Linked DNA regions of Callithrix jacchus. The protein of the gene in region 2 purifies or fractionates together with the protein of the main gene of each other region. This does not show direct contact. Links are inferred from orthologs where the notes say so. Each region holds a gene or a part of one and is shown on either strand. Other genes may lie near its edges.

The links.
Region 1: the proteins of FTSJ3 (region 2) and NOP2 fractionate together in Homo sapiens (co-fractionation; 3 studies listed by BioGRID and IntAct, with this or other methods). This does not show direct contact. The link is inferred for Callithrix jacchus from reciprocal best matches to the Homo sapiens genes FTSJ3 and NOP2.
Region 3: the proteins of FTSJ3 (region 2) and NIFK fractionate together in Homo sapiens (co-fractionation; 3 studies listed by BioGRID, with this or other methods). This does not show direct contact. The link is inferred for Callithrix jacchus from reciprocal best matches to the Homo sapiens genes FTSJ3 and NIFK.

What each region holds. Positions count from the first base shown.
Region 1 is NC_133510.1:20,754,348-20,763,896, reverse strand, and holds the start of NOP2 (28S rRNA (cytosine(4447)-C(5))-methyltransferase), read left to right. Parts: upstream 1-4,631; 5' UTR 4,632-4,716; intron 4,717-4,983; 5' UTR 4,984-4,987; coding exon 4,988-5,093; intron 5,094-6,456; coding exon 6,457-6,502; intron 6,503-6,661; coding exon 6,662-6,750; intron 6,751-6,937; coding exon 6,938-7,170; intron 7,171-9,380; coding exon 9,381-9,436; intron 9,437-9,549. Other genes in the region: CHD4 (chromodomain-helicase-DNA-binding protein 4), read left to right, coding at 785-980, 2,187-2,350, 2,526-2,543. UniProt on the Homo sapiens protein: S-adenosyl-L-methionine-dependent methyltransferase that specifically methylates the C(5) position of cytosine 4447 in 28S rRNA. Required for efficient rRNA processing and 60S ribosomal subunit biogenesis.
Region 2 is NC_133506.1:89,101,568-89,111,173, forward strand, and holds the start of FTSJ3 (pre-rRNA 2'-O-ribose RNA methyltransferase FTSJ3), read right to left. Parts: upstream 5,302-9,606; 5' UTR 5,250-5,301; intron 5,165-5,249; 5' UTR 5,139-5,164; coding exon 5,072-5,138; intron 4,899-5,071; coding exon 4,793-4,898; intron 4,477-4,792; coding exon 4,430-4,476; intron 4,304-4,429; coding exon 4,224-4,303; intron 3,806-4,223; coding exon 3,706-3,805; intron 3,611-3,705; coding exon 3,416-3,610; intron 3,338-3,415; coding exon 3,222-3,337; intron 3,117-3,221; coding exon 3,012-3,116; intron 2,934-3,011; coding exon 2,833-2,933; intron 2,608-2,832; coding exon 2,527-2,607; intron 2,450-2,526; coding exon 2,306-2,449; intron 2,170-2,305; coding exon 2,034-2,169; intron 724-2,033; coding exon 539-723; intron 395-538; coding exon 277-394; intron 198-276; coding exon 1-197. Other genes in the region: PSMC5 (26S proteasome regulatory subunit 8), read left to right, coding at 5,718-5,741, 6,356-6,427, 8,192-8,261, 8,740-8,837, 9,018-9,074, 9,156-9,386.
Region 3 is NC_133507.1:106,283,478-106,293,203, reverse strand, and holds the start of NIFK (MKI67 FHA domain-interacting nucleolar phosphoprotein), read left to right. Parts: upstream 1-4,808; 5' UTR 4,809-4,852; coding exon 4,853-4,957; intron 4,958-6,255; coding exon 6,256-6,393; intron 6,394-9,726.

The DNA.
Region 1 (9,549 bases), on a different chromosome or scaffold from region 2:
TGCCCGGCCAAAAATATTTTTAAATAGAAAAATAACTTTTCTTTTTTTGAGACAGAGTCTCCCTCTGTCACCCAGGCTGGAGTGCAGTGGCGTGATCTCTGCTTACCGTAACCTCTGCCTCCCAGGTTCAAGCATTCTTCTGCCTCCGTGCCTCAGGTAGCTGAGGTTACAGGTGTGCACTACTATCATGCCTGGCTAATTTTTGTGTTTTTAGTAGAGATGGCTTTTTTGTCTTATTGGCCAGGCTGGTCTTGAACTCTTGACCTCAAGTGATCTTCCCGCCTAAACCTCCCAAAGTGCTGGGATTACAGGCATGAGCCACCACACCCAGCCAAAATGTTTTTGAAGAGTAGTTGATAAAGAGTAGATGATAAAAAGATACTTAACTGTAACTGAATGAAAACATAACATGGATATGTATATAGTATGATCTCAGTTTTGTAAAAAACTATGCACAAAACCTAAAAAGAAAAATATCAGAATGTTAGTATTTCTTCTAGAAGGTAGGACTATCTGTTTTTAATTTTTGGTATTGTCTAAATTGAGTTTTTATCATTTTTGTATAAGAACCTAAAAGATAAAGAGTTTTAAAAACAAGCACATTCAAAAGGAAAGAAAAAAGGTACAAGGCAAGTTAAACTGCTTGGGTATGGGAATGAGCTGTCCATGAAGTTCTTTATAGGTCCTTATTACCATGAGAAACGACGAGGCGAGCTTAGAAGCCACACAAGTGAGCAAAGTGAGTTACCAGTCCAACTCCCATTTCCTCTTATGCCTTGTCCAGCTCTTAGAACAGGCTCTGGTGATTGAGGAACAGCTGCGCCGGGCTGCTTACTTGAACATGTCAGAAGACCCTTCTCACCCTTCCATGGCCCTCAACACCCGCTTTGCTGAGGTGGAGTGTTTGGCGGAAAGTCATCAGCACCTGTCCAAGGAGTCAATGGCAGGAAACAAGCCAGCCAATGCAGTCCTGCACAAAGGTAGCCAGTGGCTCCCCTGCCTCCTGCTGATTCAGCTTCCTTCCTCATCTGACCCCATCCCAGTGTATATATATCTGTTTTCAAACCTTTTTCAGAGCTTCTTTGGGAGGTTAGGAGGTAATAGGGATCTTTGCCATCCTAGGGAAGCTAATATCTTAGAGGCAATCAAAGACAGTACTTTGCCTCCTTTTTTTTTTTTTTAAAGACGGAGTCTTACTCTGTTGCCCAGACTGCAGTGTAGTGGCGCGATCTCAGCTCACTGCAAACTCCATCTGGGAGTTTAATTTCCTGTCTCAGCCTCCTGAGTAGCTGGGATTACAGGCGTCCACATGACCTTGGGTGATCCAGCCTCCCAAACGGCCTTTTTTTTTTTTTTTTTTAAAAGAGATGGTTCTTGGCTGTGCACAGTGGCTTAGGCCTGTAATCTCATCACTTCGGGAGGACTTGGCCCACTGCAACTTCTACCTCCTGTGTTCAAGCGATTCTCCTGCCTCAGTCTCCTGAGTAGCCGGGACTACAGGCATGCAGCACCACTTGTGGCTGATTTTTGTATTTTTATTAGAGAGAGGGTTTCACCATGTTTGCCAGGCTGGTCTTGAACTGACTTCAAGTGATCCACCTGCCTTGCCCTCCCAAAGTGCTGGGATTATAGGCGTGCAGATCCACTGTGTCTGGCCCTGGCCACCTATTTTAACTTTAAATATATTCAGGTTCTTGAGATGGAAAGCAAAGCACAATAATACAGTGTCATTTGGGATACTTTAGAGGTAACTTCAGGTGATAAAAGATCCCTTCAAATTCTAGACCCCTTTCAACATTTTGTTTCTAATTAAAGAAAAGGTTATGAGGAGGTGGAGGGTGAAATGAGGAAAAGAATGCTGTTATAATGGAGGTGGGAGACAGATTCTGAAGGTAGAGAATTATTAAGAGAAAAGAAAATAGGAATAAGCTTCTCAAGAAGGGGAAATACCATAATACCAAGGGATAGTGAAGGTTTAGGTGACTTTAAAAAGCACAGGATTATGGACAGTTGGAACTGGAATATGAGAAATGGGAATTGGAACATGATGGAGGTCAGGTGACAGAAGACAGTAGCACATCACAGTCACTTGGTCACTGAGAAGTGACGGGGGGGCTGGTCCACTAGGATAGAGGGAGCTCAGTCTTGGCCACCACAGCTCACCACCTCTTTTTCTCCCTATGCAGTTCTGAAACAGTTGGAAGAACTGCTGAGTGACATGAAAGCCGATGTGACTCGACTCCCAGCTACCATTGCCCGAATTCCCCCAGTTGCTGTGAGGTTACAGATGTCAGAGCGTAACATTCTCAGCCGCCTGGCAAACCGGGCACCCGAGCCTACCCCACAGCAGGTAGGACCATTTTCTTCTCGATGCCACCTCTTCCTACAGAACCATTCTAGAGTTTGTAACTTTGCTGTATGTCCCTCGCTTTGCATACTGGGTGGATGGGCTATCTGAATTCCCTTGAGATTGGGTAGCTTCCTGTCATCTGGAATTCTGACTCCTTGGTTCTCTTTCTCTATAGGTAGCCCAGCAGCAGTGAAGATGCAGATTGATACCACCTCCACCACTGAGCAGTGACCTTCCTCACTTTTCTCTTGTCCCAGCTTCTCCCTTGGGGGCCTGAGAGACCCTCACCTTCCTTCTGCCCATCTTCCATGATATAAACGAACAGCCCCCGTGCACTGGGAGAGGGGTGGGAGTGAGGGGCAGTGGTGCCCTTCCTGCAGGAGAGACATGCAGCAGTAGCGCCGGCGCCATCTGCAGGAGCTGGCGGGCTGGCCTCTGGACCCTGGCTTCTCCCCACTGTAACGCCTGTTACAAACTGTTGTGGGTTCCTGCCAGGCTTGAAGAAAATGATCTAAATTTCTTCCTCCTTTTGGTTTTATTTTGTTGGTTTATTTTATGTTTTCTTTTCTCCTTTTTGGGGGGTATTCAGAGTGGGCTGGGCCCCTGGGCGAGACACAGCTACCTCTGTTGGCATCTTTTTAATACCAGGAACCCAGCGGCTCTAGCCACTGAGCGGCTAAATGAAATAAAGTAGAAAAAAAAAAAAAAGGAAAAAACCAAAAGCATAAAAAACCACAGCAAATTTCTTGATGAAAATTGAAAATAAAAGTTTCCTTGTATTTTAGTGCTCTGGTTCAGTGTGGGTGTAGGTGCAGGTGGATGAGTGTGTGTGGCAGGAGCCTGGCACCTGTATAATTGAAAATTAAGGTATCCTGATACTCCACTGAAGAGCTGGGTTCTGTGTGTGGGTGCAGTGTGTGCCCAGCCAAGGATGACTTCTACCTGTGGAAAACGAGAGGCTGCAAAACTGGAGGACCACAGCTTGATAGCTCTGTGACCTTGAGCAAGTTGTTTCACTTACGTGGGATGCAGATTTCTCATGTATAAAACAAAAAGATAAACCCTCATGGTTGTCAAGTTAAACCAGTAGAGTACTTTTAAGTTTTTAACATCTACTAACCACTATCTTAATGTTAGTTTCAGGGAAGGCTGAGGGAGGTTTTTCTTGTTCAGTTGTGCAAAATGGGGATGCAATTTGTGGAAGAGCACACCCTCGATTTAACACCACCGGAGACTGGACCAAACACCCTCCCACCCCGAAATCCTGGTAGCTCACCCTTCCGTCCCAGACTAGGTCAGCCTTGCAACCCGTCGTTTCCCAACGAATTATAGACTTGCCTGAAAGCGAGTTCGGGCCGAGACGCCCCCTGTGAACGAGGTGCAGTGCAACACCTCAGCTGAGGGGCTGAGCATGTGTGAACGTCAAGGAAGAGGCTGGTAGGGCGGGGCGCGGTGGCTCAGAGCCTGTAATCTCAGCACAAAGGCGGGGGATGATCGCTTAAACCCAGGCGATATAGTGAGACTCCCCCTCCCCCCCCCACCCCGTCTCTATAAAAGATTTTTAAAAAGGGGAGGCTGGAAGTAGAAGGTAAGTAAGTGGTAAGGAATTCCATGATTTTTTTCTCTTTTTGAAGTGGAGTTTTGCTCGTGCTCAGGCTGGAGTGAAGCGGCACGATCTCCGCTCACTGCAACCTCTGCATCCCGGGTTCACGCAATTCTGCCTCAGCCTCCCAAGCAGCTGAGATTATAGGCGCCCACCACTACGCCCGGCTAATTTTTGTATTTTTAATAGAGATGGGGGTTTCACCATGTTGGCCAAGCTGGTCTCGAACTTCTGACCTCCGGCGATCCACCCACCTCGGTCTCCCAAAGTGCTGGGATTACAGGCGTGAGCCACTGCGCCCGGCCTGGAACTACATTATCTCGATGCTGGATTAAAGCAGTGCATGCCAGGGAGAGGACCCCGCTGTCGGGCCCCGGTTCGAGGAGAGGGTGCGGCTTTCACGCACCAGCTTTTCCGACAGAAACCAGCCGTGAGGCTCAAAGCCAACTCCTTGAAGGAAGGGGGGGGCAAGCTGAGAGGTTTCGTCACATTGCTCCTTCCATCCCCCGAGGGTGTAAGCTGCGCGTTCCCTTCGAATTTCCCCCTGCCAGCTTCCGCCCGCCCAGCGCGCTTTCCCAGAGCAAGCGTAAGTTCCGGGTGCGGCGGCCTACTGGTCGCAACCGGAAGAGGCGGGGCCACGAGGCTAGCGCTACCCATGCGCCTGCGTGGGACGGTTCTGTGGCAACTGCGGGCCGAAAGCTAGCTCCGGAGTACACGTGGAGCGCCGCCCGAAGGGCAGTCTCAGGCGGTAACCCGCGTTCTGGTGGGTCTAGAGGAAGCTGGGGGACGAAGAGTGGCAGCGCTGACCTGGTCTGGGACGTGGGGAGAGGGATGCGCTACCTGGGTTTCCGAGTGGGAGGACGTTTGATCGGGCCTCCAGGGGGATAGCGGGGGTGCTTGAGTCGCGGGTGCTGAGTCGTGGGTGCTGAGTTGAGGCTGTGCCTTTTCCCACTCTGATACGCCAAGCCTGCGTTCTGCCATTCCCTCTGACACGCACGACGCTATCTTCTCCCATTTCTGTATGCCACAGTACCATGGGGCGTAAGTTGGACCCTACGAAGAAGGAGAAGCGGGGGCCAGGCCGAAAGGCCCGGAAGCAGAAGGGTGCCGAGACCGAACTCGCCAGATTCTTGCCTACAGGTAACAATTAGTTGTGGCCCCCTGATCCCTCAGCTTTTGCAGTATTCTGTATCATAACCTCCGCTCTTTTTTCATCTCTGTTCATTTTCTATTCAGTCTTCTCTGTATGAGTTACTACGAGGTATAAATGAAACACTGTCGTTGAGATTGTAGGAACTGTTTAGGTCATAGAGAAGATGTGACATGGACACAACTATTCCTGCAAAGAAAAGTGCGATTTAAAACATTGTGGGTTCAGAGGAAGGGAGATCCTATGCAGAACTGTAAAAGTTTTTGTTAAAATGGGTTTTGAAAAATGGGTAACATTGTAGTAAGAGAAGTAGCGAAAGGGGAGGGGTCGGTCAATGACTTGCCTTTTGGAAGGTATGGAAATGGAAAAGCATGGATCTGGCTTCTCCATGCCGATCCGTCTGCTGTGTGGAAGACTGGACTGGGAGTTTGTGTTGGGCAGTGGATAAAGGATGCAGTTTATTGAGATGGTACCAAATCCTGGACACTATTGAACTTGTTGGTTATGTTATATCACTTCATCGTCTTAGAGTCCTGTGAGAGAGGCACTATTAAGGAAGTGGATGCTGAGACGTTAAGAAACTCGTATAGCCAGGTATGGTGGCTCACGCCTGTAATCCCAGCGCTTTGGGAGGCCGAGGAAGATGAATCACCTGAGGTCAGGTATTCGAGATCAGCCTGGCCAACATGGTGAAACCCGGTCTCTACTAAAAATACAAAATTGTGGTGTCTCAGGCCTGTAGTCCCACATACTTGGGAGGCTGAGGTAAGAGAATCTCTTGAACCAGGGAGATGGATGTTGTAGTGAGCCGAGATTGCTCTATTGCACTCCAACTTGGGAGACAAGAGTGAAACTCCATTTCAAAAAAAAAAAAACTGGTATACAGCTATTATATAATGATAGGGCTGAAATTCAAATGGCCTCCCTTTAATTAGGGTACTAATTCTCTTACCACTTTTATTTTCATTCCCGTTTTTGTTTTTTATTTACTTTTATTTATTTATTTTTTTTGAGATGGAGTCTTGCTCTGTCGGAGTGTGGGTTATAATGCAGTGGTGTGATCTTGGCTCACTGCAACCTCCGCCTCCCAGGTTCAAGCAATTCTCCTGCCTCAGCCTCCCGAGTAGCTGGGACTACAGGCGCATGCCACCATGCCTAGCTAATTTTTGTATTTTTAGTAGAGACAGGGTTTCACCATGTTGGCCAGGATGGTCTTGATCTCTTGACCTCGTGATCTGCACGCCTTGGCCTCCCAAAGCGTTGGCATTACAGGCATGAGGCGCCGCACCCAGCCCTCCTTTACTTTTAATGTCTCCTGTAACTTATTCTGCCTCATTTTTCTTTTTTAAACAGTAAGTGATGAAAATTCCAAGAGGTTGTCTAGTCGTGCTCGAAAGAGGTAAGTGTGGGTATCAAGACTTCAGTAGGTTAAATTGGTACTGCTCATCTTTGACCACAGAGTTAATTGTGGACTCTCATATTTCCCCGTGGTGGAAATGGCAGAGCCTGGAAGTATCTTCCCATTTCTTCACTCCTTGTATCTCTTGTATATTTTCAGAGCAGCCAAGAGGAGGTTTGGCTCTGCTGAAGCCCCTGAGACAAATAAGTCTCCTGAGGCCAAGCTGTTGCCTGGAAAGCTACCACAAGGTCAGTGAAACTAAGAGCTGGATGCTACATGTGGAGTCCTCTGGGTCCTGGGTAGGGAAGGACTTGCTGAACATTTCTAGAAAGGAACAGCCAAAGGACATTCTGAGGAGTAGAAAGTACAGGCTCCTAGGGTGTGGGGCCAGGGAATGTGTGGCTGCCATTAGTTCAGAACTCTTCAAACCCTTAGGGATCTCTGCAGGAGCTGTCCAGACAGCTGATAAGAAGGGAACCCAGTCCCTATTTAATGCTGCTCGAGGCAAGAAGCGCCCAGCACCTAGCAGTGATGAGGAAGAGGAAGACTCTGAAGAAGATGGTGTGGTGAACCACGGGGACCTCTGGGGCTCCGAGGACAGTGATGCTGGTATGGTAGATGACTATGGAGCTGACTCCAACTCTGAGAATGAGGAGGAAGGTGAAGAGGTGAGATTCATCTCTCGGGGCATTCAGAGAAGGTCCTTTCCATTTAGTTTTTTTCTAGATTTTTGAGACTATTTTTTAGTGACAAGGATAAGCCCGATTAGAGGAAAGCAATTTTTGTGCTCCATCACTGTTTCCCTACTGCCTTACATCCTCTCCCAGTGCACCTACAAGTTTGAAACTGCTGTGGATAGAGCATTTAAAAAAATCTGGAAGGCTCTGCTGATGTGGATGTGGGAAGGTGGACAATGGTATGTTCCACCGACGGGAATAGACATGTAGGCACTGTTTTTATAAAGCAGTTAACTCAGAACTTTGAAAAATGTGTTCCGGCCGGGCGTGGTGGTTCAAGCCTGTAATCCCAGCACTTTGGGAGGCCAAGGTGGGTGGATCACGAGGTCAACAGATCGAGACCATCCTGGTCAACATGGTGAAACCCCGTCTCTACTAAAAATACAAAAAATTAGCTGGGCATGGTGGCACGTGCCTGTAATCCCAGCTACTCAGGAGGCTGAGGCAGGAGAATTGCCTGAACCCAGGAGGCGGAGGTTGCGGTGAGCCGAGATCGCGCCATTGCACTCCAGCCTGGGTAACAAGAGTGAAACTCCGTCTCAAAAAAAAAGAAAAGAAAAGAAAAATGTGTTCCTTTTGGCTGGGTATGGTGGCTCACATCTATAATCCCGCACTTTGGGAGGTTAAAGCAGGAGGATTTCTTGAGACCAGGAGTTGGAGACTAGCTTGGACAACATAGAGTGAACCTGTATCTACAAAAAATTTTAAAAATTGGCCGAGTGCAGTGGCTCACACCTGTAATCCTAGCACTTTCGGAAGCTGGGTGGATCACCTGAGCTCAGGAGTTCGAGACCAGCCTGGGCAACAAAATGAGACTCAAAAAAAAAATAGCTGGTGTGGTGGCATACGCCTGTAGTCCCAGCTACTCAGGAGGCTGAGGCGGGAAGATGACTGGAGCTTGGGAGGTTAAGGATGCAGTGACCTACGATCTTTACTGCACTCCAGCCTGGATGACAGAGTGATACTGTCTCAGAAAAAAACAAAACAAAACTGAATCCTTTTGACATAGTAATTCCCTGTTAAGGAAGATGACCCAAAATGTAGGCAAAGAGTTATTTACTGAGGTGTGCAGGAAATTATTATAAAATTAGTGTGCGAATGTATTATTAGAATTGTATAGAATAAAAAAAGTTTCCATGTGCACCCTTTCCTGCAACGCCTTATATCTACAGAGTCACTATGAGGTTTGCAGGCACCATGTTGATCATGATGGCAGAAACTCTGGAAACTTCCAAAATATACAATCTGCTTAAGTATATTCATGCATATGATGTAGTTAACACTGGTCATTATGTCTGTGAAAATGCTTGTGATCTAACTGAAGTATCAAAAGCAAGAAACAAACTTGAAAATGCATTATGTGAAAAATATAGAGTAAGTCTGGAAAAAATATGGCAAAATGGTGGCCAAGGGCAATTTTTTGTCTTTTTTTTTTTTTTTTTTTTTGCAACCTCTGTTTCCCGAGTTCAAACGATTCTCCTGTCTCGGCCTTCTGAGTAGCTGGGACTACAGGTGTGTACCACTACGTCCGGCTAATTTTTTGTATTTTTAGTAGAGACAGGGTTTCATCGTGTTAGCAGGATGGTCTTGATCTCCTGACCTCATGATCCGCCTGCCTTGCCTCAGCCTCCCAAATGATGGGATGACAGTTGTGAGCCACCATGCCTGTCCTTGTCCCTTTTTATACATACAGGTATTTGTATTTCAAGTTTTTTTTTCTGAATGGAAAAGTGAAAAACATAGGAGTAGAAAAAAAAAGTGTAATTACCGATTTAATTCATTACTTAGTTTTTGTTTTTTTTTTTGAGATGGAGTCTTGCTCGGTCGCTCAGGCTAGAGTGCAGTGGCTCAATCCCAGCTCACTGCAACCTCCACCTGCTGGGTTCAAGCAATTCTCCTGCCTCAGCCTCCCAAGTAGCTGGGATTATAGATGTGTGCCACCACGCCTGGCTAATTCATTACTTAGTTTCAACAGTGGTCAGTATTGTACCAATCTTATGTTCATTTCTTTGCTTCTCTATTTCCTTCTGAGAGCAAGTGTCAACATTTTTATTTAGCAGAAAAAATAAGATACAGAGATAGAAAGTGCTTCATGGGCTGATGGAAAGGCAGGCCTGTGTTAACAACCCTTGTCTCTTCAGTTGCTGCCCATTGAAAAAGCTGCTCGGAAGCAGAAGGCCCGGGAAGCTGCTGCTGGGTGAGTTTTGGAAGCAATTGGGATGGAGCATAGGCAGCAGCTGGGGTGGGGGAAGCCGTGAGGAAGGAGGAGGTGTTTGTTTTGGTTTGTGAATCACTCTGTTCCTGGACCTA
Region 2 (9,606 bases):
TCTGTTCCTGAAGAAGCCTCTGTTCCCTTAGGGGTTTCATCCTGGCACAGGGGAGACATTCTCTCAGTCTTCAAACTGGAAGGCGGTGTCAGTGGCTGTGGCTGCTGCTGTCCCTTCCGCCGGCTCTCGAACAACAGCTGGGCCTGGCTGATCTCCAGGGCCTCGTCGGCATCGTCCTCAATCCCAGCAAAGCTGCCCTGTGATGGGAGAATGTCAGCTGACCTTCTCCCAGGGAAGGCTGACCTCCCATCAGTCTTGCCTCCAGCCTCTTCATACCTTTGAGAACCACAGGTTGGCTTGTTCTTCCTGCAGTACTGCCTTTTCCTCCAGTGGTACCAGCAGTGGATTCTCATTTTCCTCCTCTTGATCATCTTCCGCTTCAGCAAATCGCACACTGTAGATCCAAAGGAAAGTAGGAGAGGGCTCAGGGACCCAGAGTGCCTGGAGCCCTTGCTCCCTTACTTGGGCTCTGGCAGTACCCACCCAGTGCTGCCTCAGAGTGGCAGCATTCCCTCTGGCACACACACGTGCCCCTTACCACTTTCTGTCCCTTAGACACCGATGTTCCCTGACTCCTGCCAGCTCCTCTGGATCCAGGTCACTATCCAGAGATGTGTCATCACTATCGTCCTCAACATCTGACACACAGATGTCATCCCTTGGCAGATTGGATAGAAATGTGTCTGCTGCACTCATGTCCCCTTGTGTTACTTCCTCTAATAACTGAAGTGTAACAAACAAAGAGGTAAAGAAAACATACTGTTTTTTTCTGCATCCCTCACCTCAGTCTATGCTCAGCAATGCAAGAAAGAACACTGGCAAATCCATTATCTCCTTTCGCAGACGGGAAAGCTCACACCCAGGGTAGTGAATGGCCTGTTTACAACACCCTGTTCTAGGCTGGGTTACTGGTCTCTCCCACTCAGCTGTCTTGTCTCAGTGGTAGCACAAATAGGTCTTAAGGAAAAGTACCCTAGCACCAAATCTTAACATATTCTACAACGTTGGTTTTCTTTTAAAAATTACTCTCAGATGGCATCTCAGTCACCTCCTGAGAAGACCATCTACACAATTTGTTTCCACTAAATAAAAGGGGCCCAGCCAAAAAACATTCAACCAAACTATTCCACTTAAACCAACTGTCAGAACTTTTTATTTTCCTCATGGCAAAGATAGTAGGCTGGGTATGGTGGCTCACACCTGTAATCCCAGCGCTTTGGGAGGCTGAGGCAGGAGGATTGCTTGATGCAAGGAGTTTGAGGGTACAGTGAGTCATAATGGCACCACTGCACTCCAGCCTGGGTGACAAAGCAAGGCCCTGTCTAAATAAAAAGACCCCAACTACTGTTTCTTGAGTGTTTATCACATAGGAGGGATTACAACTGACCATCTTTATTCCTCATAAGAACTCTAGTAGGTAGGTTCTATTATTGTTTTACAGATGAGGAAACTGAAGCAGCAAGGATAAATGATAGTTCAGTCACTTCACACAGCTCCAGGTGGTAGAGCTGGGAAGGAAATCTGAGCCTGTGTCTGCTCTAGGCCCACCATGCTCTACTGCCTCCTACACAACAAAGATGACCTGATTATGACACTCCCTCACAAAAGCCACAAAAGTTCATTTTGCCTGTGACCCTGATTTTGTCAGGAAAAACATGTTCTTCAGTATTCAGTGGAAGAAGTCTAATGCACGTGCTCACTTGGTCTCAGTGAACTCAAGAATGCTGCTCCCCTCTGATGGAGACCCTCTATTCATCTGTTTGTAACTCAAGTAACCTGGCTGCATCAACTATAACCTAAGTTCTTTTCTGATGTTCTAGTTCTACAACAATAAATGTAGTACACCCATCTGTCTTCCTAACTTCATCCTTTAAGGTTTGCTTGTGGCCTTAGACTCACCAAGGCATCTTGTGGTGAAGACAGCAACCACAGCCCATTGTTCAGGAACTAAAAAAGACATTCAACACCCCCCACCTCCAAACTCCCACATGGATCTTCTGTCTCCTAAACCTGCAACCCCAATGTTGCCTCACCTGATGGCCCCGGATGGTGCGCAGGGAGAACATGCCAGTCTCCCCCTCATCTGCGATGGAAACCCCAGGCAGATCCATCTTCAGCTCCACACGCTCCCGCTGCTTTCTCTGCTCACGCAACAGCTTCTTTTTCTTCCTGAGGGGGTGGATTGAGGGAGTAAATGTGCCCAGCTCTGAAGAGTTTCTATCCATGCCTTGCATTTTCTTCTCCCATTGTCACATGGAGGATCCCTGCGTTGGGAGACTCCATGCTTCACCCCAGCTCCTCTCACCTCTTTAATTCTGCCACCTCCTGGGCCTTTATTTTGGCCAGGGTATGGTTCAGTTGTTCCTCCTCCTCCTCCTCAGAGGGCTGCACTGTGGTCCCAGCTATTGAGTCCTTCTCATCACCTTCATCTTCCTCTCCAGAGCTGAGGCTGGCAAAACAGTCCAAGGAGTTAGGTTATTTTCCCGACTTTCCCTTAACACCCGCCTGGCTGAGTTCCCTCCTCACCTGATGTCCAGTGCCTCTGCTTGTTCTTTCAGCTTCTTGGCCACATATCGCCGAAGTTTTGTTCTCCAGTTTAGTAGCGACCTGCCCCAGAAATAATATTACTGGTCTTGCCATCTCCCTCTTTGTTCCTGCCCACTTCTGTTTTAGGCTCACTAACCAAATTTCAGGCTTTGGCTATATAAATCAAAAGGCTCAGGCCCCCACCCCAAACCTTTAGCACAGCAACATCCCCTTCCCAGAGATCCAACATCATGGCCTTTCCCTGCCTCCAGGGCTCCTGGCCCCCATGCCCACCCTACTGCATACCTGAGTTCCTTGCGCCCTAATACTCTGATGTCCTGACAGCACACCTGTATATCCTCAGTGGTGGCTGGATGCTGTACCAACTCTTCATCATCTATCATGATCTGTTTGGGAGGAGGGAAAGGAGATTCTCAGGCCATGTTTCCAGGGTTACCTCATGTCCCTCAAGGCTGGAGACTCACTTCGCTGGCCTTGGAGAGGAAGTCAACAGGGTTGGCAGCTCGGAGGAAGTCAGTGACTGAGGTACGGTGATAGAGAGTGAGGTCACCCTCAGCATAGCCTTCGGCCTTAGGGAGAAAAATAGAGAAGGTTGGGCAGTCCCTTCTAGGGTATGAGGCCCAACTTCCCCAGAGTTCCAGGACCCAACGGTGACCCCACTCCCCAAAACACACCTTTGGCTTCTTCTTAGTCACCAATTCAGTAACAGTCTTAGCCTGAACTTCTACCTCCTTGAAGGCGAATTTGGGGTCAAAGAATTTACTGTCAACCTTGACTGGGGCCAGGAATCCTAAAAATGACAGGATATGTTAAAAATTATGCTTTGGGAGTAGGAAGGCTGGACCAAAAGAAAGGAAGTGATGCCCACCTTGGCAGACCACAAAGATCTCTGCAGATTCATGGCGAGACGCTTGGGGCTTGGTGGCCTGGACACGGCGGAACAGCTGCTGAAAGATCCATAGCAGAGGCTGATAGTCACGGGAACGGAAAACCTTTGTGATGAAGCAGCCACCACGGGCCAAAAAGTCACAAGCCAAACGCAGAGCCATCAGTGTCAAATGGGCTGTAGGATAGAGACAGCTGAGGCATTCTGCAGCCCAAGAGGGCATGCGCCCACCTCCACCATCACCTGATCTCCAAGTGCCACACTCCTTGTACCTTGTGAGTAAGCATCATGGACCCAGCTAGCCCCAATGTTGGGGGCCCCATCATTTAGCACAACATCAACCTTCCAGGTCTTCAGCTCCTTCCTCAAGGCCTAAAGAGAATAAAAAGAACTATGGAAACAGAGACACAGTAATAGGCCTAATTCAGCCATTTGTCCATCCAGTCATTTGTTGAGTGCCTATCATGGGCCAAATGCTGTTCCAGGCACAGAAGATAACATTAAACAAAAATATTACGTTGCTACCTTCATGGAGTGTAGAGTCTAACAGTGAGTTCATAAGAAAAGACTTCACTAAAGATCTCTGTCCTTATCCCGATTCCAAGCACCTTCATCCCTGACTCTAAATAAATGCTGGAGTGGACACTATGGAAACCATGGGTCTTGTCATACAGATGTCAGGCGGGAACGTGCTCAAAACATGGAACATCCTCTAAACTTGCTTCTAGAGGATTTTGGGGATGTGGATGTTTGAGTATAAACGGGAAAGGAAGAGAGAGACTCCTGTTACCTGCCTACAGCGTTCAGTTGTGATATCCTCCTGCAGAGTCACCACATTGGGGAGAGGCTTGATTGGAACCAGGTCCACTCCTGGAAGAAATCAGGTCAGAGTATTTAAAGGAATACTTTTGCCTCAAACAGGGAGGAGAGAAATACATGACAAAGTACCTCATACACCCATCCCTTAAAACACGAAGGAGAGCTGTCCTCACTCACCCACAATAAGGCTGGATACAGGCATAAACTTGGCAGCTACCTGCAGCCTATAAAAGGAATAGAGATTTAAAACCTAGAGCCAACCCTTTCCCTCTCTTGGCAACTGACCTCTCATTCCTGGTGTTACATGCACTGGCCAGAGCATGCCACAGGTACGTATTCCAAGCCTTTTCTCTGCAATCAAGAAAGGAAACGGTCCCCCAAGGTTTAGGAGGGACCTATGCTCTGGGCTGTAGATAAATATGAGGCTGGAATTACTGTATTGCGGGAGGGGAATCCCGAATCCCGTCCTCCCGCAACGAAACTGGAATCCATCCCGGCTCTGAACCCAGAAAGCTGCCACTTGTGGCAAGTGTTACGTACCACCCCCCTGGCGCAGCACACAGATCCAGCAAGGCTCGGGCTTTCTGCAGGAACTGAAAGCGGCGATTGAGCTGGATCAGCTTGAAAGCAGATCGGGAACGGTAACCTGGACAAAACAACCAAGTGCATAGAGGGCTTCACCAGCAGGATTTCTCCGGCCTCGCAGACCACCACCCGTTCTGCAGGAGAGGAACCCAATGGTCGGAAACTGGAAGCGAACCGGGAAGAGATCGCTCGCTCGCTCGCTCGCAGACGGAGCGAATCCGAATCCAGACTCACCCGTCTCCTTCGCCAAGTGATAAAACTTGTCCCGTCGGCTCTTGCCAACTTTGCCCTTCTTGCCCATGGTGGAATGGAGGAGTAGCGCTCAATCTGAGGAGAAAGTAGAAGTTGGGAACGTGTCTTTCCGGAGCACCAGATTCTACTTCCAGTTTCCCACTTTCCGCAGCAATTCCACCTCGCGCCGGGTTCCACACACTCCACCTAGACCCAGCGCCGCTTGAAACTGCACAAGTAGGCAGCAAACGTACTTCCGCTTCCGTTTGCGTCCCTGCGTCCCTGGCTCAAGGTTTTCCGCCATTTTGCGTGTGGCCATAGATTTTTTTTTTTTTTTTTTTTCTCGATACTCTGTCCTCGGGTTTTGTAAGTTGAAAGTTGGGACCAGGGAGGCATATTACAGCACATAAACATAGTTTCTATGCGGGAACACTGAGGCATGCTACTCCCTCTTCTTCCTTTTCCAAAGCCCATGAACTCGAGTAGCCGCCCCTCCCATCATGGTACCCTTAGTTAGTGCGGACTCGCCGCACACTCCGCCCACTGACCCGGAACTTTTGTCTGCCTAGTCGTCAGGTCTCAAGCCTTGTCTTCCGCGCCTGCGCTCCAAGACGGATCGGATGCCGGCTGTCTCTGCTGAAAAGGGAAGATGGCGCTTGACGGGCCAGAGCAGGTATGGCGGCTGCAGTGGCGGCCCGGCGGGTTATGGGGCTGTGTGAGGAGCGGGTGTCATCTGAGTGGAGAGCGGGCCGGCGCAGGAGAGTCGGGTGGGTAGGAGGTGGCTGGACCAGTCCAGGCTGGATGCTGCCTGCGACCGGATCTGCTGTGTCAGCGCCGCCCTCGGTGAGTCAGGGCAAGGCTGGAAGAGGAGACACGGTAGAAGTGGAGTGAGTAAGGGGAGCAATGGGCGCGGGAACAGCCGGCCCGCGGATCGCAGGAGATCGGACGCCAGTCCTTCGGCTCCGTTTCGCTGGCTCCGTCGGCAGTAATGACCACTCGGGCTTGTAGCGCGCTTGACGCAGTGCAAAGAGCTCCCGTGTATATATCGCCCCTCGGTCCTCCTAAAAGTCTTGCGAGGTAGGCGGCGTTCCCATTTTATTTTAATCATGAGAAAATGGAGGGTTCCAAGAGAGGGAGGGATTAGAACCCAGATCCCGAGCCTCGGAAGTACAAACTTTTTTACTACGCAAAGCTGCCTGGTGTCAAGACTAATTCAAAGTGCCCTGCAAGTGGCTTTACCCCCTCGGACGTTTAGCCTGTCGTTTAAGACTCACTCTGTGTCTTCAGATGGAGCTGGAGGAGGGGAAGGCAGGCAGCGGTCTCCGCCAATATTATCTGTCCAAGATTGAAGAACTCCAGGTGAGGACAGACTCCAGCGGGAGCTAGGAGAGGGGTTGGGAGGGATGGCTGCTGACTTCCACAAATCTAATTCCTCTGGGAGTGCAGTGGAAGAAGCTGCTGCTGCTTCTTTCTTGTTTGTTTCTTAGTGGGGTGTGTATGTTGGAAGTAAGCAATCTCTTGTTCTCAAGTCCCACCCCTTTGAGGGTTCTAGTGTTCACGGTTTGTTCCACATCTTTAAGAGTCAAATCTTAACAGAAAAGATACCTCTAGCCAAAGGTCAACCCTTTTGGAAGAAGCCCGAGTGTGTTTCCTTAGAAAAGGGAACACACAGGCTCAGGAGATGAGATTTATCACGAAGAGGTTGGGTCAGGATGAAGTGAGAATGTGAGGAAGGGCATCATTGAGACCTCTGAACAATGCTCATTCCATGGAGACTGAATGAAAGAAACTGGGCAACCCAGAGCTCTAACCTAAAGCACTTAACCATAGAAAAAGGACCATTTATGGACTGTTAATGTTGTCAGTAAGGCTTCCAGGAGTAAGTTGGTGTGGCTTCAGGCAGTAAGCCTTACTGCATAATACTTGCAGGTATTATGTTTAGTTTACCATTTTTGAATGTTTTCATGTGTATTTGTTTGTTCACCTCAGTAATCCTGAAAAGAAGCAGGGCAGCTGATGCGATACCCACATGCCGTTTGGTAACAGATCTAGATTTTTAAATACGGCTTGCCTTAGCTTTACCTTGCTTTTGATTTGACAGCAGCTGGGCTAGAACTCAGGCTTCTCACCTAAAGATCTTTCCACCAGGTGACTTTGCCTTCCTGCAAGAAATTCCCTGTTACATGAGCCAGCTGTAACTTTTCTCCATTAGATTCTGTTATTCCTGAACCAGTATTGGACAACATAAACAGTAGGCTGTTAGTGTTACAGTGTTATGTTACAGTGTTACAGTGGGCTATTAGTATTTTAACTTTGGACAAGTCCATGGATTTTCAATTTCGCCCTAACCCCAATTGACTGTTTATGTTGTCAGTAAGGCTTCCAGTAGTAAGGTACAGCTTCCAGTGTGGTAAGCCTTACTGACAACAAACAGTAGGCTGTTAGTGTTAAATGTCATGTTATAGTGTTACAGTAGGCGATTAGTAGTTTAACTTGGGACAAGTCCATGGATTTTCAATTTTGCCCTCACCTCCTGCGTTGTTCAGGGGTCAGCTGTAATATAAATTGGATGGGGGAAAGCTACAAGTAAGAATTCTGAATTCCAAGTGCATTTGCAGGTATTATGTTTAGTTTATCATTTTTATTCGTTCACCTCAGTAGTTCTGAAAAGCAGCGGGGCAGCTGATACTATACTCATGAGCCGTTTGGTAACAGATCTAGATTTTTAAAAATAGCTTGCCTTAGCTTTACCTTGCTTTTGATTTGATAGTAGCTGGGCTAGAACTCAGGTGAGTTCACCTGACGATCTTTCCACCAGGTGATGTTGCCTTCTCGTAAGAAATTCAGTGTTATATGAGCCAGCTATAACTTTTCTCCATTAGATTCTTATTCCTGGACCAGTATTGGACAAGTAGCCTTCTTTGATGGCTGCCCTAGGCTCCAGAGGGACTCGTGGAGGACAGGACAGGGTCATTAGAAACACACTGGAGAATCTGAAACAACATGCAGGTGCCCTGTGTGCCCTTCCCTCAGCTTGTTCCGACCTGTGAGGTCTTGACCAAGATCCTACCTCCTCCTGTCTCCTGCCCTTGAGTAATGAAATTTGTCTCTTGTCCATTACAGCTGATTGTGAATGATAAGAGCCAAAACCTCCGGAGGCTGCAGGCACAAAGGAATGAACTAAATGCTAAAGGTGAGGAAAGATGCGAAGCTGCATGTGGGCAGTTTGAGCTCTGTCCTAACTTCCCTGCACTGTGTCTTCACAGCAGTGCTGTTTTCTCCATTGTCATCTAGTAGTTTCACATGCATCTCTTTCCTGAGCCCCATTGTAACCTCCTTAAAGACAAGAATTTTGGCTGGGTGCGGTGGCTCATGCCTGTAATCCCAGCACTTTGGGAGGCTTAGGTGGGTGGATTACAAGGTCTGGAGTTCAAGACCAGCCTGGCCAATATAGTGAAACCCCATCTCTACCAAAAATACAAAAACTAGCTGGGCACACCACCATGCCCATGCCCAGCTAAGTTTTTTACTGTCTCAGAAAAAAAGACACGAATTTTGACCCTTGGCCTTCCTTTAATAACTTGAGTGGTACTTAGCTCATGCATGTAGAATTGGATCCTGGGAGCTCCCAAGGAGTAGCTAGGTGATCACCATGTCTGTTTGCCATCTAGTTCGCCTATTGCGGGAGGAGCTACAGCTGCTGCAGGAGCAGGGCTCCTATGTGGGGGAAGTAGTCCGGGCCATGGATAAGAAGAAAGTGTTGGTCAAGGTAAAAGCAGCATGACCCAGGGACCAGCCCAGTCTCCGCTGCATTCCCACCCCTTTGTGTGTAGCCTCAGGAGACAGGGTTCTGTGTTCTATCAAGTTATTGTGGGATTCTCATAGGTCTTCCTGGGTAGGGTTAGTGATTTGGTGGCTGTTGGAATGTCATCAGCCCTTGTTTCTTTAGGTACATCCTGAGGGCAAATTTGTTGTAGATGTGGACAAAAACATTGACATCAATGACGTAAGTGTAGCAGGTGAGGGGGTGGGGGTAGCGGGGTCAGCTCTTACTGCACCACTTCTGAAACTTGCCCCCTTCACCCAGGTGACACCCAATTGCCGGGTGGCTCTAAGAAATGACAGCTACACTCTACACAAGATCCTGCCCAATAAGGTGGACCCATTGGTATCACTGATGATGGTGGAGAAAGTGCCAGATTCGACTTATGAGATGATTGGTGGACTAGACAAACAGATCAAGGAGATCAAAGAAGTGATCGAGCTGCCTGTTAAGCATCCCGAGCTCTTCGAAGCACTGGGCATTGCTCAGCCCAAGGTGAGGAGCAGGGCTTCTCTGGGAGGGCCAAGCTGTACTTACTACCTTACTAATCCTGTCCTAGCCAGCCTGGCTTAGGCTGGCCTTTCCCCCGAAAAGAGTGGCTGGGGAAGTGTTCTAGGGTGGTGGTTTGGATATAAGCTCCAGAATGGACCTTGATTTTTTTTTTTTTTTTTTTTTTTTTGGTATCCCTAACCTGTAGCAAGGGACCCAACACTCC
Region 3 (9,726 bases), on a different chromosome or scaffold from region 2:
TGAAACTCTCATCTATACTTAAAATACAAAAATTAGCCATGCGTGGTGGTGAGCACCTGTAATCCCAGCTACTCAGGAGGCTGAGGCAGGAGAATCACTTGAATCTAGGAGGCAGAGGTTGCAGTGAGCTTAGATGGATGCAGGATGCATTCCATTCTGGGCAACTGACTGGGTAACAGAGTGAGACTCTGTTTAAAAAAGGAAAAAAAAAAAAAAGGAGGTTAGGGACCAAAGGGTTGGATGGTTGTTTGTGCAAACCCATACCTTTGAGCAGAGTATTGTCCACAGCCACGGCAATCACACATCCAGATCTCATTAGAAGACTCGCCAGCACATATATTAGCCCATGGCCCAGCCAGTGCTAAAAAAGAGAAATGTGAGAGCAGAGCTCGTGACATCAGACATTTCCAATCTCCATTTGCCACATTAGTCACAGTGGATCCTGACAATTCTGTTTTCACTGTAACTTTCCCTGAACTTTCTGTAGTTTATGGGAAGGTTGTCCTTCCAGAATTTTAATATCCTAATTCCGATGTAAAATTGGTTATTCCCTGGCTACAGAATTTGGCTTCGTGACCTTAGCATATCAGTAAATGTATTTATTTATTGGCATTAGCCTCCGTCAATATACTTTGCTTCAGGTCCAGTAGTAAATGGGATAAGTTGTGCTTTTCTATTTTTCTTTGCTCATTACTGGCATGGGGATCACTATGGTTAGATTAAGCAAAAATAAGAAAACAGCATGGCTCAGAAAATAATTTTAGAAGTTCTAAAGTGATGTTGAAATGGTTAGTTCTACTAATCGAATCCTACCAAATGTTGGAATTAAAGGAGAAATAAACTCTGAACTAGACAAGTTTGTTTAACACTAGATAAATCTCTTTCATGGTTGCAAACACAGAAGAGGAGGAGTCTTAGAAATAATCTGCAATGTCAAACCAATTTAGCCTCAACTGAGATGAGGAGAGAAGGTGGGAAAGGAGTAGAACCAGTTATCTAAAAAATTATGAAACATGGAGGAGAGGCTGCTTTCTCAGTGGACTTGGTGCAAACTTTGTTTTAGGCACAATATGTCTCTTTAGTATAGCAAGCACTCGATAAATGTTCAATTGAGTTAAACGTCCTGGATTTCCGGTGTTAACATTCACAGAGAAATACAGTGAGCACACTCAACCTTGCACTTTGAAACAAACAAGCAAAAGCAAGAGCCTGATTATTTGACTATTGATTTTATTTATTTATTTATTTATTTATTTTTTAAAAAGACATTTATTCAGCGTCACGATCAGACTAATTAAAATCTTCTGCCACTGCCATAGCTACTGCTGCTACTGGAACTGCCATAGCCACCTTGGTTTCGTGGTTTGGCAAAGTATTGGCCGCCACCACCATAGGGGCCAGAGCTTCTGCCTCCAAAGTTTCCTCCCTTCATGGGTCCAAAATTTGAAGACTGATTGTTGTAACTGCCAAAATCATTGTAGCTTCCACCACCTCCAAAATTGCCTCCATCATTACCAAATCCATTATAGCCATCCCCACTGCCACCATAACCACCACCACCACAGCTGCCACCAAAGCCACCATGACCACTGAAATTTCCTCCACGACCAAAGTTGTCATTCCCACCAAAACCACCTCCACGACCACCACCAAAGTTTCCAGAACCACTTCGACCTCTTTGGCTGGATGAAGCACTAGCCATCTCTTGCTTTGACAGGGCTTTCCTAACTTCACAGTTGTGGCCATTCACAGTATGGTATTTCTGAATGACAATCTTATCCACGGAGTCATGGTCGTCAAAGGTTACAAAGGCAAAGCCCCTTTTCTTGCCACTGCCTCTGTCCGTCATGATTTCAATCACTTCAATTTTTCCATACTGTTCAAAATAATCTCTTAGGTGATGTTCTTCAGTGTCTTCTTTAATGCCACCAACGAATATTTTTTTCACAGTTAAGTGGGCACTTGGTCTTTGAGAATCTTCTCTTGAGACAGCTCTCTTTGGTTCCACAACTCTTCCATCCACTTTGTGTGGCCTTGCATTCATGGCTGCATCCACCTCCTCCACAGTTGCATACGTGACGAACCCAAAGCCCCTGGAGCGCTTGGTGTTTGGATCTCTCATGACCACACAGTCTGTGAGCGTTCCCCATTGCTCAAAATGGCTCCTGAGGCTCTCATCGGTTGTTTCAAAGCTCAACCCTCCAATGAAGAGCTTCCTCAGCTGTTCCGGCTCTTTAGGAGACTCTGACTTAGACATGATCGCGGGGAGAAGAAAGACTTTAACGATGCTGCTTCGGCGGCGTCCACGGGCAGAAAGGACGACTATTGATTTTATTTAAAGACATTTTACTCTTTGTTAATACATATGCTGTGAAAAGAAACTACAGAACGTGGCCATTAAGCCTATTCTTTAAAATAGTTTTAAAGGATGGGTTTCAAAAGCTTTGGGACTATAGGTGTACGCCACCATATCCAGCTAATTTTTGTATTTTAATTAATTTACTTATTTTTTATTCACAGACGGGGTTTTGCCATGTTGGCCAGGCTGGTCTCGAACTCCTGACCTCAGGTGATTGCCTGCCTTGCCTCCCAAAGTGCTAGGATTACAGGCATGAGCCACCGCACCCCACCTGTATTTTATTTTTTATTTTTATTTTTGGAGATGGAGACTCGCTCTATCACTCATGCTCCCAGGCTGGAGTGCTGTGGTGTGATCTTGCCTCACTGCAACCTCTGCCTCCTGGGTTCAAGTAATACTCTGCCTCAGCCTCCTGAGTAGCTGGGATTACAAGTGCCTGCCCCCATGCCTGGCTAATTTTTGTATTTTTTTATTAGAGACAGGGTTTCACCATCTTGGCCAGGCTGATCTTGACTCTTGACCTCATGATCCACCTGCCTGGGCCTCCCAAAGTGCTGGAATTAGAGGCGCCCACGAAAGTATGATTTTTCTTTTTTTTTTTTCCCTGAGATGTTGTCTCACTCTGTCACCCAGGCTGGAGTGCAGTGGCACAATCTTCACTTACTGCAACCTCCACCTCCCGGGTTCAAGTGATTCTCCTGGCTCAGCCTCCGGAGTAAGTTGGGATTACAGTCGCCTGCCACCACGCCTGGCTAATATTTGTATTTTTAGTAGAGACAGGGTTTTGCCATTTTGGCCAGGCTGGTCTTGAACTCCTGACCTCAGGTGATCCGCCCACCTCAGCCTCCCAAAGCACTGGGATTACAGGTGTGAGCTACCGCGCGTGGCCTCCAAGTATGATTTCAACTGAGTATATTCCTCACTTGAAAATGTTTTGCAGAATTCTGTTACCTTTCTGTTGTGGCATGTGCTAGCATGTTATTACTTTGCTGTTAGTCATCTTCTGTTGAAAACTAGGTGGAAGCTTTGTAGTCCCCCAGTTACACAGATTTTGAGAAAGGGAAATTTCCTTTGCACTCTTACTGAGGTCTGAAAACACTGTTGGAACCACCGTTTTAGGTTGGAAAATATAACTGCTGTAAGTATATGTATGGGAATGCAGATCTCACGGCTTTTAACTTTCCACAGCACAGGAAGTACATAAAGTAGCTGATATTACAATTCAAATGTCATCAAAGTGACTTTTCAGCCTTGTAAGTTTTGAATGTAAGTGGTTTTGGCTTTTAATTCTAAATTGAATTGACTTAAATTCATGAAGAAACAGCAAGTTGGCAGCAAAATCTACTTTCTTAACCTGTTCAGTATTTGATGAAAATAGAAATTTTAAGTCCCCAGGCTGTAAGTTCCCTAAGGGCGACGGACGGAGGAACACAGGAGGGGCTCAGACACTAGTGAGTGAAAGAATAAGCAAATTAGGGCCGGGCTCGGTGGCTCACGCATGTAATCCCAACACTTGGAGAGGCTGAGTCGGGTGGATCACCTGAAGTCAGGAGTTCGAGACCAGGGTATCCTGCAAAATTAGCCGGGGGTGGTGGCGGGCTCCTGCAATCCCAGCTGTTCAGGAGGCTGAGGCAGGAGAATCGCTGGAACCCGGAAGGCGGCGATTGCGGTGAGCCGAGATCGCGCCATTGCCCTCCAGCCTGAGCAACGAGAGCGAAACTCCTTTTCGATTAAAAAAGAATAAATAAATAAGCAAATTAAGGAATGAGAGCAGCATCTCAAGAGCACAGGTATTGTTTTGAAATTGATTTTAGACCTCCTTTGCAAGTCGGCGTGAATGTAATTGTTTCAGGCACTTTTTTTTTTGAGACCGAGTCTCGGTGTCATCCAGGCTGGAGTGCAATGGCGCGATCCTGCCTCATCGCAAACTCCCGTCTCCCGGGTTCAAGCGATTCTCCCGCCTCAGCCTCCGGAGAAGCTGAGATGACAGGCACAGGCCACCGCGCCCGGCAGGCACTCTTAAGCGAAGCCAATCCGCGCCTCGCCAGCGGAGGGCGCCGGATCTCGCCGCGGCCCAGCCCCAGACACACCCCCGCGCCTCAGCCCCAGACACACCCCCGCGCCTCGCCACGCCCCCTAGCCTGCCCCCGCGTTTTGGCGTGCTTACTCCCCACCCTCCGCTTCTTGTCACGCCTGGTGCCACGCCCCAGTGCCTCCGCGCAATACGTGCCCCTCGCCACGCCTCGTGCCCCGCCCTTGCCCCCGGAGCAATTTATACCCCGCCCCCTTGCCTTGCCGCACCGCGTGCCCCGTTCCCTCTCCGCCGCGCCACTCCAGCTCCAACCCGGGTCCCGACTCTTGGCCCTCCCCGTCCCTCGCCACGCCTTCCACAGCGCTTCGCGGCGCCCGGGTCCTGATTCTACTTCCGTCTCGGAGGAATTGGGAGGCCGACGTTTCCGGTAGTGCCGCGTGGAGTTAGTGGCCGCTTTTGGCATGGCGGTGTTATCTGGTCCGGCTGCTCCAGTCTTGTCGCTTAACCCGCAAGAAGATGGCGAGTTTCAAAAGGAGGTGGCGCAGGTTCGCAAGCGCATAACCCAGGTGAGCAGGCGCCCTAGCCCAGGCTGTGAGTACGGGAGACGCATCGGGTCTAGGGGGTTTCTCGGGTTGCGCAGTTCCCGGCCCGGCTCCTCTTGCCTTCGCGCGCGCCTTCGTTACCTCCAGGGTCTCCCATCTGGATTCGCCTGAATCAGGGACCGACCTCTTGAGCTTGCAGGCCACGGTTTCCCAGACTAAAGGATTTACGCTGGTCAGTACATTATGGAGGGGTTTGGCCGCTGAGGACTTGGAGCCTTCATGTGGAGAGTAAGGGGGAGGTATTGGGTGACGGAAGCGGAGGAAGGACCCAGCTGGAGGGAATGGGCTCCCATACTGCAGATTATCTCCGGGTTAGAGCTGTCACTGCCGCGTTGCCTCCGAAAATGGAGGCCCCAGACTTACCACTTTCGGGAGGTTTGTATGCCGGGTTGGAGATCTGAGAGTTATTAAAATACTTTATTTGCCAAGTTGCGCTTGCTGACTAGGGCCCCTGACATCCCTTATACTTTCTGTGGTTTTTAGCATACAATACACCGGGAAACTTAGACGTTCTTGTTACAGAGGTAACAGACGACTGAGACGCTGAAAGGCTAATCTGTACTGTGAGAGTTAACAATCATCTGGAGAATTTTTCGATGAAGTGCGAGTAAACAGTATGCATACAAAGTGATGGGTACAGTTATATAGAGTTCTCCGGGCAGAAGATGTAAAATGGCTTGTTCAGGGTTGTCCTTGCTTATCCGCTGATTGACATAGTTATTGAGCACTGACATTTTACTGAGTGGTGGGGTGCCAGGCTGGAAAGACAGTCGACTACTGCTCAGCCATGGCCTTTGTGGGTAGAGACATTAAACAGCCAGTTCTTTAATTACTGCTGTGGTAAGTGGAAATGCAGAGTAGGTTCTTGGGTCGAGGGCTGGGACTAGGAGTTTTGCAAGCTTTGTTGCAATGTGATTTTCTTAAAGATATTTAGCTGGTCGCTGTGGCTCACACCTGTAATCCTAGCACTTCGGGAGGCTGAGGAGGGTGTATCACCTGAGGTCAGGAGTTCGAGATCATCCTGGCCAACATGGTGAATCCTCGTCTCTACTAAAAATACAAAAAAATAGCGGGGGGCGTGGTGGCAGGCGCCTTTAATCCCAGCTACTCGGGAGGCTGAGGCAGGAGAATTGCTTGAATCTGAGAGACGGAGGTTGTAGTGAGCCAAGATCAGGCCACTACAGTCCAGCCTGGGCAACAAAAGGGAAACTCCATCTCAAAAAAAAAAGAAAAAATAATTTACCTGGTCTTTATGTCTTCAGCGAAACAAACAAGAACAGCTTACCCCTGGAGTCGTCTATGTGCGCCACCTGCCTAACCTACTTGACGAAACCCAGATCTTTTCCTATTTCTCCCAGTTTGGCACTGTGACACGGTTCAGACTGTCCAGAAGTAAAAGGGTAAGATTTTTGTAATTGTGTTTGCTGTTTTGTTTTTCAAATGTGTATTATCTTTGACATTAAAGAGCACGTTCACTTATGTATTATTGTTTATCAGATTTCATTGCAAAAAGGAGAGCGGCTGAGGTTTAGAATCTGAAAGGGCCGGGCCAGGCGCGGTGGCTCAAGCCTGTAATCCTAGCACTTTGGGAGGCCGAGGCGGGTGGATCACGAGGTCAAGAGATCAAGACCATCCTGGTCAACATGGTGAAACCCCGTCTCTACTAAAAATACATAAAAGTAGCTGGGCATGGTGGTGCATACCTGTAATCCCAGCTACTTAGGAGGCTGAGGCAGAAGAATTGCCTGAACCCAGGAGGTGGAGGTTGCAGTGAGCCGAGATCGCGCCATTGCACTCCAGCCTGGGTAGCAAGAGTGAAATCTGTCTCAAAAAAAAAAAAAAAAGAATCTGGAACGGCCACAGGAGCAAAATCAGTATTATTGTAAAAGTTTGTTTGTTACATTGCTCCAAATCCTTATATTAAGTTGACAGTCCTGGTAAATGAACTTATGTATGAGGACTAGGTTCATCCATCTTGTATTAGCCTTTGGTACAAGCATCCCTATCATAGCAAAGATTTATATGGTGAATAAAGATAAGGACTCTGGAGTTGGACTGCCAAGCTTTAGGGCCAGGCTCTAGCCCTTACTAGTTAGAGTGATATGACCATACCATGCTCAGTGTTGTGATCTGTTATATGTGAGTAAAACTTTATGGGAGTATTTAGTCAAAGGTTAAAAGAAATAATATATATAAAATCCTTAGAATTATTGCTTGGCACACAGCAAACACTATATAAGTGTAATTACTATTGTGTCATACCTGCCTTCTAATGAGAAAAAGGTGTATGTAACTTGTTCCAAGAGTAGAGGAGTGACCCACTTTGTTCCACTTTCTTTTCTTTTTTTTGAGATGGAGCCTTGCTGTGGCCCAGGCTGCTGGAGTGCAATGATGCAATCTCTGCTCACTGCAACCTCTGCCTCCCGGGTTCAAGTAGTTCTCAGCCTCCTGAGTAGCTATGATTACCGGTGCCCACTACCACACCTGGCTAATTTTTTGTATTTTTAGTAGAGATTGGGTTTCACCATCTTGGCCAGGCTGGTCTTGAACTCCTGACCTTGTGATCCACCCACCTCAGCCTCCCAAAGTGCTGGGATTACGGGAGTGAACTGCCTCACCTAGCCTACCCACTTTATTTTTTCCCCACACATAAACTTTAATGGGTTGTAGCCATAGACGCCTATTTGATTTAGCATCTAGGGCATAGGGTGTGCATCCATCATCTGTTAGTTATCCTAAAGATACAGATTATAGGTAGAATTGAGGTCCCTTTCCTACCCTTCCCAAGGCTCTTCACCTTCTCCTTTAAGTAGGGAATTAAATTCACAAATTCAGTTTTCAGTGCTATCTATAAGTTTTTATTACATATATAAATGTATATATGGTATTATTTTTAAATTCTATTATTTCTATCCTTTTTCAGCTGAATTCTTTTGTTCAGTAATCAGCATTATTCCTGTATCTCTAGTGCCTTTGTTATCATCATTGCTTGTTACTTGTAACTGAAGTTTATCCACCCTCCTATTGAACATTAGGTGTTGTTTTTTTGTTTTATTTTTTTGAGACAATCTCACTGTGTCACCAGGTAGCCATAGTGTAGTAGGGCGATCTCGGCTCACTGTATCTGCACCTCCCAGGTTCAAGTGATTCTCCTGCCTCAGCCTCCTGAGTAGCTGGGATTACAGGTATCTGCCCCTGTACCTGGCTAATATTTGTATGTTGAGTAGAAACAGGGTTTCACCATGTTGGCCAAGTTGGTCTCGAACTCCTGACCTCAGGTGATCCGCCCATCTTGGCCTCCCAAAACGCTGGGATTACAGCATGAGCGAGTCACTGTACCCACCCCAAACATTAGGTTTTTTACTACTCTTAACTCTTTAGATGAAGCTGCCATGAAGTCTTTATGCAGGTATAGGCAGATTTATTTAGAACAGTATTTTGCAGACTTTGGTTCTCAGTAAGAAGTCAGTTTTTACCATCACAAAGAAGATAAGGGTTTAAAAGAAAAAAGTAAGTTTTACAGCACAGACCAGCACATGTACACATGCATGTAAGCATAACTGAAATAAAAGTCAAATGAGACAATGTTTAAACTTGTTTTGTTGGATGATTTTGTTTCATTCTACTCAGGTTTTTGTTTTTGTTTTTGGTTTTTTGGTTTTTGTTTTGTTTGAGACAGAGTCTCACTCTGTTACCTAGGCTGGAATACAGTGGTACAATCTCAGCTCACTGCAGTCTCCACCTCCCTGGTTCAAGTGATTCTCCTGCCTCAGCCTCCCAAGTAGCTGGGATTACAGGTGTGCGCCACCACACCCAGCTAATTTTTGTATTTTTAGTAGAGACAGCGTTTCACCATTTTGGCCAGGCTGGTCTCAAACTCCTGATGGGGATCCACTCACCTCAGCCTCCCAAAGGACTTAGATTATAGGTGTGAGCCACCATGACTGGCCTAGTTTTGTTTGTTTTTTAGTATCCTTGTGACCTAAACTGATCCTATTACCCCCTCAAAAGGTCAGGCTCTGAGTTTGAAAAGTGCAAGTGTTTTCCCGTGTTGCAATATAGTAATTGTTCCCCCAGCTGTGTGTTTTTATTTGTAGGCTATAGAGAAGTAGAAGAAATAGTGGGATGGTCATCTCTACAGTCCTCACCTGGATTCACCCATTATTAACATCCTAACACATTAGCTTCATTGTTTTGTTACTATATAAACACCTACACACACACTCTTTTTTCCTGAACCATTAGAAAAAAGCAGCAGTTATACTACTTTAGATACTTCATCATAAATCTGAGAATGAAGACATGTCTTTCAATATAACCACAGTATAATGGTATATAATGCACTGTCTTTTTGTATCTCCAGTTGTTCCCAAAATGGTTTTTTGTTTGTATGTTTGTTTTGTTTTTTAAGAAGGAATCTGGCTCTGTTGTCCAGGCTGGAGTTGAGTGGCACAATCTCAGCTCACTGCAATCTCCACCTCCCAGGTTCATGCGATTCTCCTGCCTCACCCTCCCGAATAGCTAGGACTACAGGCATGCGCCACCACACCCGGCTAATTTTTGTATTTTTTAATAGAGACGGGGTTTCAGCATGTTGGCCAGGCTGGTCTCAAACTCCTGACCTCTGGTGATCCACCCGCCTCGGCCTCCCAAAGTGGTGGAATTACAGGCATGAGCCACCACACCCAGCCTTATTTTGTTCTTGAGACAGGATCTCATTCTGTCGCCCAGGC